Tamandua tetradactyla: one gene and its partner. The protein of the gene in region 1 purifies or fractionates together with the protein of each later gene. This does not show direct contact. Links are inferred from orthologs where the notes say so. Each region holds a gene or a part of one and is shown on either strand. Other genes may lie near its edges.

Region 1 (7,367 bases):
GGTGAAGCCTGACTCCCAGATGGGCGAGTTGACCCCGTAGATCTCCTCCTCCAGCATGGATAGGAATCTGTGGGAGGGCACAGTCTGTTCTACCACTCTTCCCTCTGACCAAGGGTGGAGCCCTAGGCCAGGCACCAAAGGGGCAGGAGGCAGGTGAGAGAGACAGACCCTGATCTCAGGGAGCTTGGAGTCTGAAAGGAGAAAGCCTCTGCCTTCTGGGAACCCCTAGTCTGAGGAGGGAGGTGCAGTACACTGCCTTCTGGGAGTCCCCATCAAAGGTGGAAGATGGGCACATCTAGGACAGAGGTCAAAGGGCCCACTCCCTGCCCTGATGTGCAGCACAGGGAGGCAGGGTCCAAGCTGATGCCACTCTAGGCTGTGTGGCCAGGCAGGGCACCAAGCCACCCTGAACCTCAAACTCCTCGCTGTCAACACAGGACTCAGAGGCTGCCCCTTCCAGTCACTTTATTCTCCCCTGACAGCAGAAGGGGCATGAGAGGGTCAGGATTAGAAAGTAAAGACTTCTTAAACAGGGGAGTTGTGAGGCAGGTTTAAAATGGGAGGAAGGTGTGGCAGAAGGGGGGAACGTGTTACAGAAAGGACTAGAACAGGGATTGAAGTTTCACCTCAAGTGTAAGCTCTGGTTTCTTGGAGTGCTGTGGTAGGAAGGACTCTGAGGCTGTGTCCAGGCCCCGTGGGAAACAATGAGTAATGTCTATCCTGGGTGCAGGAGGGGGAGCATTAACACTGTGCCATGTACCTGCTATCCCCACACAAGCACATGCAAAGGCAAATACTAGCAAGTTGCATCTGGGCTGTGGGCAAGTCTGCCCAGTAAACATCCAGAGCCCAGAAGGCCCATGGAGGGAGAGGAGGGGCCAATCTCGGAAGCCTTCCTGGAGAAGAGGGAATAACAGCAAAGGTGCAGAATCCTGATGGGCCAGAACAAGCCTTACTTGGGGAAGTGAGTGAGGATCAGGGTCCTCTTCTCGGGCACCAGCTTGTCCTTCTCCACTCGGAACTTCTCCAGCAGCTGCCGGCGAGTAACGGTGAAGATGGAGCGGAGGAGGCTTCGCCCAAAGACGTGGGTGGTCTCATAACGGGGGAGGCTATCGCAGCTCTGGGGCACGTGGCAGTAACAGAGCCATCTGCAGGGGACGGATGCGGCAGGTGAAAAGAGAAACCATGGACTCTAGACTGGGCCTACACACTTTCCCCCAGGCTGCCTCTGGCTGGGCCTACCTGGTGTAATTGACCTTGTAGGTGGCTACATCCTCAGCCTGGGACCTCTGCCGAAACTGGGCAGGTGTCTCAAGCTTCCAGTAGTTAAGGCAGAGCAGGAACATCTTTGAGAGCTCGAACATCGTCTGCCGCTCCCGGGGAGCCAGGTGGCTGAACTTGTACTGCACAAAGTTGAGCACCCCCTGGGAAGGCGGTAAACAAACAGGGGACACCGCCTGAGCACCCAGCAGGTGCTCCCCGAGGGCAGGGACAAGGCTCTCCTTTCACTCTGGGGCTTTCTGCAAAGAGAAATTATGCCCACCCCTCAGCCCTGAGATTAGCACAAAATCTCCTTTCTTCTCTGAACCTCTTCCCTGTACTCAGTTGGAGAAGCATGCAGAGCACAGGCTCCCCACTCCTCCAAGCTGTCACCCCTCCCATTCTCCTCTTACCACTTTCTCCATGCTACCTGCTCAATATTAGGCTTCTCAAATGGAGGGCTGCCCAGGGAGCCCTCCACCACAGGCCGGGTCATCTGCAGGATGCATTTCCGCAGGAGCTGGAGGGAGGGGAAGGGGGAGTACGGGTCAGCAGAGCTCAGAGCTGCAGAACCCCCTCGCCTCATTTCACACACACTCTCTCATCCGGAGGAAGCTCACCTTGAAGAGGTAGAAATACACCTGCTTGGTGTCCGTGTCCTCCTCCTTGTGAACAGACATGAACAGGTTCTCCACATCTACGACCATCCCCAGCAGCCGGTTAATCTCATCCTCAGACACATTCTCCAGGTGGGACACATGGTCCGCTACGAAAAGGACAGGTGGGAGAATTGGGAGCAATGGGAAGAAGAGATTAACAGGGACTTCCTAGCCCTCTTCATAGCCAGCCAAAATACACCTTCAGCCCCTCCAACTAGTCTCTCCAAAGAGACTGACTGCACCTGTGTCGGCCCTGGGGAGGCCCCTTGCCCCTCCTGGACTGGCAGATTTCCCTTCTCCTCCTTTGAGGTATACCCACTCCCAACCCCATCCCTCTTTAGGAGACATCTTTGGTTTTTCAGAGATGAGTCTTTGTGGCACTTGAGTTAATCTGTCCAAGCAGGACCCAGCAGCATCTCTGTCCCCAGGTATAAGGGCGCTGCCGGCCTTACCCAAGGGGTGCTCACAGCTGCGGCACAGCTCACTCAGGTTGGCGGCTGGCTGCTGCAGGTCCATGCGGGGTGCAGTGGGGGGCTTGGGGTTTTTCCAGCCATTACATTTGCAGGTCTCATTGGCCTGGCGATAGAATTATCAGTCATTGACCCGGCATCCCGGGGCAAGGAACCACTCCCCGGCCAGAGCCTTGCATCCACACGCATCGGAGGCCCTGGATGCCCCGAGCCCCGCCCCTTTCGCCCCAGGCCCCGCCCCCACCTTGCAAGCAGAGAAGACCCCTAGCTTCTCAAGCTTCTTGGCGCGCGGCAGCCCCCGGACTTGCGCTTTCCTCTGGCTGGCGCGTTGCTGCTGGCTCAGACCAGGTCGAGCCGGATCTCCCCCGCTCCCGGTCCCCCCACTTCCTACCCCGGGCCCCCCAGTCCCTGTACTCCCAGCTGGGGTTGCAACTGGGACCGGGACTGGTGCCGGAGTGGGAGCCGGAGCCGGGGTCGAAGCTGGGCTGGGGGCAGGAGTCGGAGTTGGGGCAGGGGCTGGGGATTGATGGGGACGGGGCTGCGCAGCCGGGGTCGGGGTCGGGGCCTGGGAAGGTTCCGCCATGGCCTGCCCCGCAGCGGAGCGCGGTGCGGCGCTCCCAGCCCTAGGGCCGCATGGGCAACCGGCGCTCAGTGCGCAGGCGCCACTGCCCCGGAGCATGATGGGAGTTGTAGTCGGCTATTGCCGCTCCGCTCTGCTACCAGGTTCCAGACTTTTCTGTCCTGTCTCTTGGTCCTCGACAGCCAGTTTAGGCCCGAGTGAGTAACCCAGATTGATCCCTCCTTCACTTCTAATTCCTCATGGAAGCTTCCGCGATAGTCAAGATTACTGTCCTCTTGGGGACAAGGAGGAGCATGCTACAAAACAGGAACCTGCCTGGGGGAATTGGGGAGCCCCAGTTCTATTTCTTGAGCTGTGTAGTCATGGCAGGGGTGATTTGCCTTTATTCATCAGTGGTACTCTTTTAGACACTTTTCTCTATGTATGTTTTCTTTCAGTAAAAAGAGTTCATTATAAAAATACAGAGCTCCAGAGGCATGGCTGCGGTCATAAAGAAGGCCGAGACAGGGATACGGTCTAGGTACAGCTGGACTCTCCCTCTCCAGACCGAGGGCAACTGGGGAACAGGGCCCCTGCCTTCATTTTTGTGTTCCCAGGGCCCAGCCCTTGGTCTCCCGCACCGTAGACTCCATGAATGGATGCTAAAAGAGGCAGAAGGAGGAGTCTGCCACCCGCACACCCTGGTCCGCACGAGAAACCATTGGAGCCATCAGGAAAAGGCAGGATGTGCAGAGAATGGAAGACCCTGGGAAGGTCACGCTCCGCAAGATCAGTCCTCTCCCCTTCAGGCCTTATTCTTAGAAGGCCAAGAGTGCCACCTTCCAGCCCAACGGCTCAATCTGCTCTCCTGTCCACGCCCCTGGCCGGTCCAGGCCAGAGTAACCGTGTGTGTAGCATCTTGTTGATCCATTTCAGTCACAGCCCGGCCGCCCAGAATCCCTGGCAGAGTGGGGGAGGACCCGAGGAAGGGGCAGGAGCGGGAGCTCCAAGGCGGTCCACCTGAACCTCAGAGGCAGGACGTGCACAACTGACCCTGAGCTCTGCCAAGGCGACCCTCGCTGCAGAGGAGCCGAGATGTGCGGAAGCGAAGGGCACCGAGCTGGACAGAACTGAGGGGAGTAGAGGGGGGGAGCCACGCGCAGCCCCCCGGAGCCCCTCCCCTCTGGGGCATCCGCGCCTGTAGGCACGCCTGGAGCTCCGCGCTCGCGCCCCTGGACAGCAGTTGCTCAGTCGGATGCAGCGGGGCGGGAGCAGCCAGTCCAACGAGAACCAGGTGGCGTCCCGGCGCCCCAGCGTGGCCCTCGCTGAACAAAATCAGGGGGTCACGCTGCCGGTGCGGCTGCTCAGGGACGCCTCGGCAGCTGCGCAAGATGACCATGCAGAGGACGGCTTCCAGCTGAAGGTGGACGCCCACGGCTTCGCCCCTGAAGAACTGGTGGTGAGGGTGGACGGCCGATCCCTGACAGTGACTGGACATCAACAACTGGAGGGCAACGGCCCGGACGGGGCGGGCTACCGAATGGCGCGGAAGGTGCACCGGGAACTGCGTCTGCCGTCTGCCGTGGATCCAGCCTCCATGAGCTGCTGCCTGACACCCTCCGGCCGGCTGTGTTTCCGAGGCCAGGGCCCTTCACTGCCTTCTTCTGAAGCCCAAACTGGATCGTCCCCGAGACTCAGGGACCAGGGCTCTAAGAAGGATACTAACCTAGTCTGAGCCAGTAAACAGCCATGTTGCACAGTAGTCTTAGTGTCCGTGGTCTTTTCTGGGGATTGGGGTCAAAGGCAGGGTAGAGAGACTAGAGGCACAAGCCGAGGGATGCCAAGTGAAGGGCTCAGTCAGGCAGGCAGGAAAGGCACCTTATAAGGTGGTGGTCCACCAAGAATCACAGCCTCTGGGGCCTTGGGAGAAGTTGAAGAGGGCAGCACTGTTCACTGCCTGGACCAGCAGCCTCCAGCTTTCCACAGCAGAGAGCAGCAGCTCCAGCAGGGAGCAGCAGAGGGCTCAGAGGGCCCAAGAACCACCCGGCTCCAGAGCTAGTAGAGGTCCCTGAGACCAGGGAGGGTGTAGCTTGAGCCTGGGGTGTGGATGGGTGCTGTGGAGGACAGACATGGTGAGCGAAGCTAGCCACTGCAGCATTGGCCTAAAGATTAGTCCAGGATTCTAAAGACTATCGATGTTCCTTCCTCTTCAGGGATGAGGGTAAGACATAGTCCCTTATAGAGCACCCCCCCCCAAGCGGTTGCTTCTGGTGTTTCAGAGACCAAAATCTTCAAATACACAGTACATGTCATCCAGGTGTAATCAGGAGGGAAAAGCAATTGCAGGACCATGAACTTTGAACTTGGTGAGACTCAGCCCCATGTCAGTCTTACCCCTCCCCGCCCCATTGGAGCTGGTAACAGTAAGGGCCTCTTTCTCTTGGTTACCATGATCACCAATATCCCCTCATATTAGGGAAAAAACACACTTTTGTTTGATAAGATTCAGTGGTTCATTTTAAATTCACTTCAAGAAAATTCCAGAGGGCACGGTCTGATAAACTCTGCCAGAGAAAGACAAGGAAGACAAGTGCAAGGTCGATCGATCGGCTGACTATATTGACAAGATACTGATTGGTTACATGTTGAAGAAAACATACAATACAAAATACAGAAAAAGTTGGTTCCATCCCCTCCCACTCCCCCCCTTACCCACCCACCCCTGAATACTCATCATCGTGATTTGGTCAGAAGAGGGCTTCAAAGCCAGAGATCAGGGTGACCAAGGAGGGTGGGATGGGGGTGATGGTTCGTGGCTGTTTCGATAATTCATGTGAAAATTCACTGTGGTAATATGGTGCCTCTCCCTGCTCTGAAGAAGGGTAGGCTGCAGCCTGAGGTCAGCCAGCTGAGGGAAGAGCTTCCTCTCCCTTCCCTCACCCCTGTGGCCTTCCCCACCATGCCAAACCAAGCCCAAGGTAAGGATGGGGATGCTCTTGAAGAAGGAAAGGGAGGGTAACTGCTCCACCCCCTGCCCTCAGGTACATGGGTGGGGGGAACGGGAGCAGAGAGCTACTACCAGCAGAGGAAAAATGGGAGAGCAGTAAAAAGGGGAAGAAATGGGAAGAGCAGATCTTATATATTAAAAAAGTGACTTAAGACTTAAAATTGAATTAGTATTGTACAGAAAGGTGCGGGTGGAATAACTCACTCTGGCCTATGATCAAAAGTATATGGAGAAATCATGGTAGAGCCCTCCCCCTGCCCCCCACCCCAGTGGTGCCCGAGTCGTTAAATGCGATTGGTTAGAGTGGATTCCAGTCGGGTCATTCAGGCGGAGGAGGTGGGGGCAGTGGACAGGCAAGGGGGGCTCAGTTGCTGCAGCACTGGCTCCGGCTGGCTGGGTTGTTCTCTTGGAGGTCCACACCTCGGTTCCGGCCTGGAGCACCAGCTGTATTCTGGGGCTCGTTCTTGGGGAGCTTCTTAGCTGTTTAGGATAGGAGAAGAATGCATTTGAGAAGGAAGGGTACCCCAATACCCTCTTCCAGTTCCACCTGAGTAGAATTCTGGCCCTTAACTCCCTTATCAGTGATAACTTATTGAAGGCTTCCATGTGTCAGTTTTATGAGTGTTTCAGGGAACTGAGGCAGAGAGAGATGAAATAACTTGCCCAAGGCTACAGAATTAATTAAGTGGTAGAGTCAGGATATGAACCCCGCAAAGCTGATGAACTAAAAAATCCTAAGAAGTGAGTGGGGGCATAGTGATAGCAGTTTCTGAAATGGGCAGCGAGCTAAAGAGTCAGGGAATGAAATGTTGGACATTGTTCCAGGCAATAGGAACTTCTGGGGTGAATGACCTACATGTGGGAGTGAGATGAAAGAGAAACTTTTACCGGAGTATTAGAATGGTAAAAGACCAGTTGGTTAAGGAACCCCCCCGCAGACCTTCTATGGAACAGCAGGCAAACGATGGACATGTGGTGGTGCATGATGGGGAAGACACAAGAGGCAACCTACCTATTGCCATGAAAATTTCATTCACATTCATTGCGGTCTTTGCTGATGTCTCCATGAACAGCAAACTGTTGTCATCTGCATAGGCTTGTGCTTCCTGGTTTGGATGCAGGTGAGAAAGAGGGTGGGAGGGAAATGTTGGCAGCTGGCAGAGGCTGGGGCCCAAAATAGAAATCTTTCCTGATCACAGTAGAGACTGGCTGGACAAATGCAGGGGCTTTCCAGCTTAAGGCTCTCCACCTCTGGGTTCTCCCAGGTCATCTGCACCACACCCCCATTGCTCCACTCCCCCTACAGTCCTGGGAGCTCAGGAACATCAGCAGGTTTCTTTAGGTCCATTCTGTCTTCTCGCTCTTCAAAATTAGAAGGCTAGGAAATACTTCAAGACAAATACACTTGTGCA
Region 2 (6,800 bases), on another chromosome or scaffold:
TTTGCTGATCTCTCCAACATGGAAATTGGCATGAAGGTGGGAACAAAGCCACATACACTTGTCTTGGGGGATGATGGTGGTGATGGCAGTAACTGTGGTGGGTCTGGGCTGTTCCCAGACTTGTTCAGATATACAGTAATCCTGTCCCAATAGGCCTTTCCCCACGACACTGAAATTGTGAGGTTTACCTTGTTTGTCCTTCTATTTGCAGGTGGCACTGGAAGGCCTTCGGCCTACCATCCCACCAGGTATTTCCCCTCATGTGTGTAAGCTCATGAAGATCTGCATGAATGAAGACCCTGCTAAGCGACCTAAGTTTGACATGATTGTGCCTATTCTGGAGAAGATGCAAGACAAGTAGGGCTGGAAAGTCCTTCCCTAAAAAACTCCAGGGGTGTCAGGACACAGTTGGGGGAGTGCCCCTCCCCAAAGCAGCAGGCCTCTGGTTGCCTCCTTTGTCTCCAGTCATGGTACTACCCCAGCCATGGGGCCCATCCCCTACCCACGCCCCTGTTACTGTGGCCCCAAAAGAGGCTGGGCTCAGAGCTTTGTCACTTGCCACACGGTGTCTCCCAGCATGGGAGGGATCAGCCTGCCTGTCACAATAAAGTTTATTATGAAAACAGGCTGGTGTGGGGATATGGGGACAAATACATTTAGGTTGGGTGGCTCAGGTGAAGTAATGCGGCTTCTTCACATTGATGCCATACTCGCTGAGGGCAGGTGTCAAGTCCTCCATGGTTAGAGTATACTTGCGGTCCTGAGGGGAAAGGGAAGAGCACCAGCTGAGCACAAGAATCTCAGATTTCAATCCCAGGTGGTGACCCTGAGTAGGTCTTAAGTCTCCCCTAGGACTTGGTTTCCCTAAAGGGTTTCAGGATAAGTTAAGCCTCCAAGGCTGTGAAGGATAATTACTGATTCAGTGAGCCTCCCCTCACACCTTGCTCTTGCTTCGGGAGCTGCCGGAGGCTGTGCCCTTCATTTTGCAGTGCTGTAGGGCATCATTGGCAATATCTGAGATGAATTTCTGGGCAGCTAGGGAGATGAGCCGAATTCTAGAGAGAAAAAACTGGTATGAAAAGGAGATGGGAAACAACTTCTATACAAGCACCCAGAACTCTACTTTGTCCAGTGTTTACTCACATGCGTGGGTCCGAGGCCTCAAAGCCAGCACGGTTCAGATAGTAACCAGTCACTGCATCTGGGATCTGAGAAATCAATTAGACAACTGTCATTGCTAACCTTGAGCTCTGTTGGGCTGAGAATGAGGGAAGGCAAGGGAAATGGAGAACAGGGCTGGTTATCAGGAAGCTCACAGGAAGGGGAGAGGGGATTGATCATAAGAGGAGGGCAGCAAACACAGGAAAGCACTGGGGAAGTAATTCATGGCAAAGGTTGGCATGACAGTAGGCCAAGTGGCCTTGTTCAGGCGGGAAGCCCACCGTAGGCGTGTAATCCTCCAGCTGCATCAGGAAGTCCACCAGAGGTGTGCTGGACACCACCGGCTTCACCTCTCCGTTGGCCGCGCTCGGCAGTACGTAAACTCCGTTAGACATGGCACCCTCCGGGGGCGCCGCGCCGCCCGCCGACACAGGAGCTAGCGGAGAACCAACAAAGTGAAAACGGAGGTGGGGGCGTGCAGGACCCTAGTACCCTGTCCCCTTACTCGCCGCTGGGTCGCAGACGCTTGTGCCCTCTACCCTTACTCGCCTCTGAACCCAGCCCCAGGCGCTTTCCCTCACCCTCACCCGCCCCGGCCCGGCCCTCACTCGCCCCGCGCCTCTCGGCCGTCTCTCCAGCCCGCGCCGCCACGGGTCCCGAGCCCCCAGCCGCGGCTCCAGCCCCAGGGCCCCCTGCTATCCCTGCGGGGCTGCCCTTGCTCTCCGCGGCGGCGCTGGCAGGCAGCGCTGCTGAGGCCGAGGCAGTGGGTGCCGGACCCGAGGCCGAGGCGGCGGACGCCGGCGCCGCCTCGGGGTCCGCGCCGGAGCCGCTGCAGCTCATCGGGCCGGTGAGAGAGGCGGCGAACAGAGCAGCTTCCGCTTCCGCCCACGTTACGCACACACCAGGGTGATGTCACACGCTTCACAACTCGCTCCTCCCACAGCATATTTGCTCTCTCCCTCGGGTCTCCGGCCTTAGGTTGTTTCTCTTTGGCCAATTAGGTGAACTGTCCGCAAGAGCGGAGGCCAATACCTGGAGAACTGCGCAGGCCGGGGCCAGCCTGCTCTCCCACTCAGCGGTACTCCGAGACAGTTCCGCCGGGAAAACAACCACTGTATTTCCGGGACTCTCTTGTGCTGGTCTGGGGACATTCCATTCAGCTGACGCTCCCAAAATATTGCATCGGCCAGATACCCTCGACCACAGGTTGTCTGCCAATCTGCTTTCCCTCTGGAGCCCTCATTCAGATTTTAAGAGATCGTAGTGGAGTGGGAGAGCATCCCGCGTCCCCTGTCTCGCCAACTGCCCAGAGAAGTGCAGAAGCAGGAGGGCGGGACACAATGCTCCAGTAGATGAGGAGCGTTATTTCGGCCTCGAGCAAATGACATAAGCAAATCAAAGCCAGAGAAAGCGCGAGGTTTTCAATTCGACAAGCATTTACTGAATTCTATTTGCCAACCCCTGAGCTAGAGCCTGGGAATTCAACTTTAAGTAGGACAAGATTCTAGTCCTCTAGGCACCGACGGTCTTGGAAAGCGAGACAAACAAGGAAACTGGCAATTTCATTACCATGTGGTACTTACAATAGTAGAGGTAGGCACAGGGTGTGCAGTGCAAAGGAGGAAGGGAACTAATATTTGCTGCCTACTCCAGTGTCCAGGCATTTTATCAACGTTATCCCACTTATTCCCTGATTATTCTGAGAGGCTCAGAGAAATAGAAGTATTTACCTAAGGCCTTTTGATAGTACATACCAGAATCAAGAATTTAATGGATTGATTACAAAAATCTGGGTTTTTTTGTTTTTGTTTTTCTATACCAAATTCATCTAACTGAATCTCAGGCAACTGAACAGTTTCATAAGAGAAGGTGAATTCCAAGTGTGGAGTCTTGAAAGAATCCTGGAAATTTACCAGGCAAAGGTCTAAGAGAACAGCTTGAGCAAAGGTTGGGGAGAGGGAGTTTATTGTGCAAGGGGAAGATAATCAATTTGTTCGTCAGCCACAAATAACAAAAAAGGAAGGGATCAGGTCTTGCAAGCCATGATAAAAAGCCTGAAATTTATCCAGTCATCTTTAAAGGGTTTTGATCAAGTATGACCTGATCGCATATGCATATTCTCAAAAAAGTTTAGGAAGGGCAGGAAGTGTGGACACTGTTTTTGCAAGGGCCTCCTGTTCAGAGAGAGAAGTCTTCAACTAACAAAGTAGCAGTGGAGATGGAGAGACATGGATGAGTTCCAGATATGTTTAGGAAATACAATTGGCAAAATTTATGGATTGATGTAGACATACTTACAAGGTAAAGTCAGTAGGACTTGTTGATTGAAGGTAGGGGGAAGGTAAGGTAAAGGAAATGGGAGTGTAGGATGACTCTTAGGTTTCTGGCTTGGAGGGGGCATAGTAGGAATCACCAAGAAGAAAATAAAGAGGTGGAACAGTTCAGATTTGGCAAGGAGGAAGATGAAGTGTTGAATATTATACATCTTGTATTTGAGGTATCAATCACTGTTGGGTAGAGGCTGATTTAGTGAGACAGTGATGGCTGAGATTCCAGTGATTTGTTCTAGGGGACAATGGGTACAGTGAGCAGAGCAAAAAACTAAGGATGGAGCAATGGTGAACACCAGTATTCAATGAGTAAGCAGAAAAGAGAAGTCCATGATTGAAGAAGACAGGAGTAGTCAGAGAAGGAGAAGTTAAGTCCTGGAAGCTAAGGAAGGAGAGGGAGTGGGTAATGGTGATAGAGAGCCCATAAAGCAAAGATGAAGCAGCAAGGAGGCCATTGTTTCACGGTGAGCCCACTGTCAGGGGAGGATAGAATAACCCATTAAAGCAGAGGATTCATTGCAGTGGGCTGAATGAACATGAAAAAGTGCACATATTGTGGACAACCTTTGGAAAAGTCAGGTTTAGAAGAGATGGGGCATCCCCAAAAGTTCTGGTTATAGCATCTTGCAGAGGAACCTGAGGCAGGAGTAGGGAGACCTAAGTATGACGGAACAAGGGAGGATTGGAAGTCAAGTCAAACTCACAGCCTTGCAGAGTTAGGGAGGAAAGCTGTCTGCAGCAGTCAACAGTTGAGGGTTCAGCAGGGTTTCCAACAGTGCAGAATAAGAGACCCAGCACTGGTTGCAGGGCAGGGGACATGCCAGAACTCCTGGCAGGAAAAGGTCAGGGGTTGAGTAATGTCTTTAGCAGAGCTGGGAAGTTAGGTGTTCCCCAGCCTGTCACAGGATCCCAGCCAGGACCAGAGCAGAAGCCCTGACCCTCCACTTCTTCATTCAGACAGGACACATGACAGCCACGGGTCACCTGGGGAGGAAGTAGGCATCAGATCTGGACCTGCTGGTTCCAGTACTACCAGATAGTATAGATCCTCACCCTGTACTCACAGCCCTGAGACTTCCCCACCCCATCAGAACTACCCTCAAGTTTACCTTACCATTCCCCATACTCATATGAAAGCACACACCCTTCCCTACCACACTTACATCAAAGAGTCCTGCCCCACGCTGTTGATAAAGCCTTGGGTTGAGAAAGCCGAGAGGGGGATGGCCACTGAGTATTCTGTGCTCATTTACCAGGGACAGGAGTCCTCCAAACACTGGAGTGGAGGCCTACAAGTATGAGGGTGTAAGTAGAAATCAGAGGTTGAGAGAGATTGGACTTATAGGGAGGTCTCTAAGGAGTTAGGGGTTCTGAGTATAAGGTCTTGGGGGTACAGGATGAGGACAGTTTCCTGAGAGGAGATTTAGACCCAGGCTGATTCTCACCGAAGTGCCAGAAACCCATGGAATGGGCACGCTGTTGCTGACCACCCAATAGCCATCAGAAAGTGCAGCCACATCTGGGTAGGCACGGCCACTGGCATTGAAGTAACTGGATGGTGGCAGATGAGGGCTGGAGCTCAGGAACTGGGCTACCGCTTCCTCCTAAAAGGCATTGTGGAGTGAGTACTGGCCTGTAGCCTGCCCTTTAGTCTGCTGAACTAGTGAGGATCTCGAACACTACCACCTATCCATCCACACAAACATACACATACCTGGTATGAAGGCTGTGGGAACACATTGCTGAAGCCACCACCACTGATATAGTCAACAACCTCGTCTGTGATGAAGAAGGGATTCTGGAAAGATGTGCCTCCTACTGTGGTGACATAGGGGCTGAGGGAACAAGACAGCCCTCAGGTTACAGGGAATTCAAGAGGAACTCCAAGATGTATGAGGGTGGGTGAGTACAGACTAGATCTTGCTGGATGGGCTAGACTCCATGGGGAAGGATGTACTTTGGGGTGACTAAGAGGTTTTGGGCCCTCAAGACATGGCCACAGGTGATTGGCCATACATTTCTCTACAGAACATGTGCCAAATCTTCCCCTAAATGCCTCAGGACTGGGAGGAAGAACACTTGGGGGTTGTGTCCCGCTCAGAAGGTGTGGGGCCAGGGACCTACAGGAAGAAGAGAAGGGAGTGTAGCAACTAGGGGAGGTAAAGCTAAGGGCTGAGCAATAGGAGGGCCTGGTGAGGTCAAGACAAAGATTCTACATCATGAGATCACAGGTGAGAGGCTGGTGGTCACAGGTAAGTGGTAGACTGGGGTACTTACCTAGAGGCAGGGAAGCTAGGACGGAACTGGTGTCTTCCAGAGACAGACCAACACCCAGCGCCACTGTCACCTAGGAGAGAGACCAAGTTTAGCACTTAGACCTTCATTGTGGGTTCAGAAATCAGAGTGGAAGTTTAGGTGTCAGTCATTGCTATGGAGGTCAGAGTCTAGAGGTCAGACCTATGGTCCCTACTGAGGGTCTGAGTTCAGGTTATGACTCAAAGATCAGGCTCAGGGATCACTGTAAGGTTAAAGGTCCCAGGTTGGCTGGGTAGGGATCTAAGGTTAGGGTAAGAGGTCACCTGAGGCAAAGAGTAGGGTGAGACCCCGAGCAGCGGCCTTCATGAACTCGATGTTGACCCGCTGGATGTAGCTGCTGCTGAGAGAGTCCTCATCATCTCCGTAGCTCACGGTGTGCACATGTGGCAGGGCTGACTCATTACTGAGCAGTAGGAGCCACTGTAAGAAGGGCTCTTGTGCCTCATGCCGGCCTGGATTTATGGGCAGGGGTAGGGGATAAGGGGCCAGGGGGAGAGGACAAAGGTCGTTATTGGTGGGGGCATTGTCAGGATCTCCCTTCAGCTCATGGGAGTCCCTTGAGGCATCTGGGATCAATGCCCACTCTCCACCCTCTTCCCCACCAACCAGCCCCTTGGCAGTACCAGGGTTACTATAGACCCAGGTGGAGATGTTGGCACCAGCACTCATCAGGTACTCCACATCTAGGCTGGCCTCGATCCCAGCCCTGCCCCGGCCCTGTTGTCCAACTACACGGGCTATTGATGTCTGGTGTGCAAAGCTTCCACCAAAGAGGTGCATGAACTCAGTTAGGTCTGCTTCACGGAAGTACTGCTCCAGGAACTATGGAGGGAGTCAGAGCAGGGGTCATGGGTCAGAGGACACAGTCCCAGATCACAGGCCAGGGAATGAGAGCCTAGGGGTCAGAGGCAGAGAGCAAGAAACCCCAGGCAGTAAGTCACCAAGGACACCTTGGGGAAGCCATGAGGACCTTGGGGCTGTCTGCACGGCTCA

The links. Proteins that work in one complex are often made in the same cells at the same time.
Region 2: the proteins of KAT2A (region 1) and TAF10 purify together in Homo sapiens (affinity purification with mass spectrometry; 8 studies listed by BioGRID and IntAct, with this or other methods). This does not show direct contact. The link is inferred for Tamandua tetradactyla from reciprocal best matches to the Homo sapiens genes KAT2A and TAF10.

The regions. Positions count from the first base shown.
Region 1 is NC_135332.1:25,120,289-25,127,655, reverse strand, and holds the start of KAT2A (histone acetyltransferase KAT2A), read right to left. Parts: upstream 3,031-7,367; 5' UTR 2,973-3,030; coding exon 2,634-2,972; intron 2,496-2,633; coding exon 2,372-2,495; intron 2,027-2,371; coding exon 1,881-2,026; intron 1,781-1,880; coding exon 1,691-1,780; intron 1,425-1,690; coding exon 1,243-1,424; intron 1,149-1,242; coding exon 957-1,148; intron 68-956; coding exon 1-67. Other genes in the region: HSPB9 (heat shock protein beta-9), read left to right, coding at 4,204-4,683; RAB5C (ras-related protein Rab-5C), read right to left, coding at 6,320-6,435, 6,968-7,061. UniProt on the Homo sapiens protein: Protein lysine acyltransferase that can act as a acetyltransferase, glutaryltransferase, succinyltransferase or malonyltransferase, depending on the context.
Region 2 is NC_135334.1:80,052,830-80,059,629, forward strand, and holds TAF10 (transcription initiation factor TFIID subunit 10), read right to left. Parts: upstream 2,015-6,800; 5' UTR 2,002-2,014; coding exon 1,770-2,001; intron 1,598-1,769; coding exon 1,443-1,597; intron 1,209-1,442; coding exon 1,144-1,208; intron 1,056-1,143; coding exon 941-1,055; intron 761-940; coding exon 671-760; 3' UTR 594-670; downstream 1-593. Other genes in the region: scaffold protein ILK, read left to right, coding at 1-36, 212-361; TPP1 (tripeptidyl-peptidase 1), read right to left, coding at 4,335-4,475, 4,655-4,780, 4,937-5,095, 5,206-5,326, 5,769-5,833, 6,066-6,259, 6,431-6,629. UniProt on the Homo sapiens protein: The TFIID basal transcription factor complex plays a major role in the initiation of RNA polymerase II (Pol II)-dependent transcription.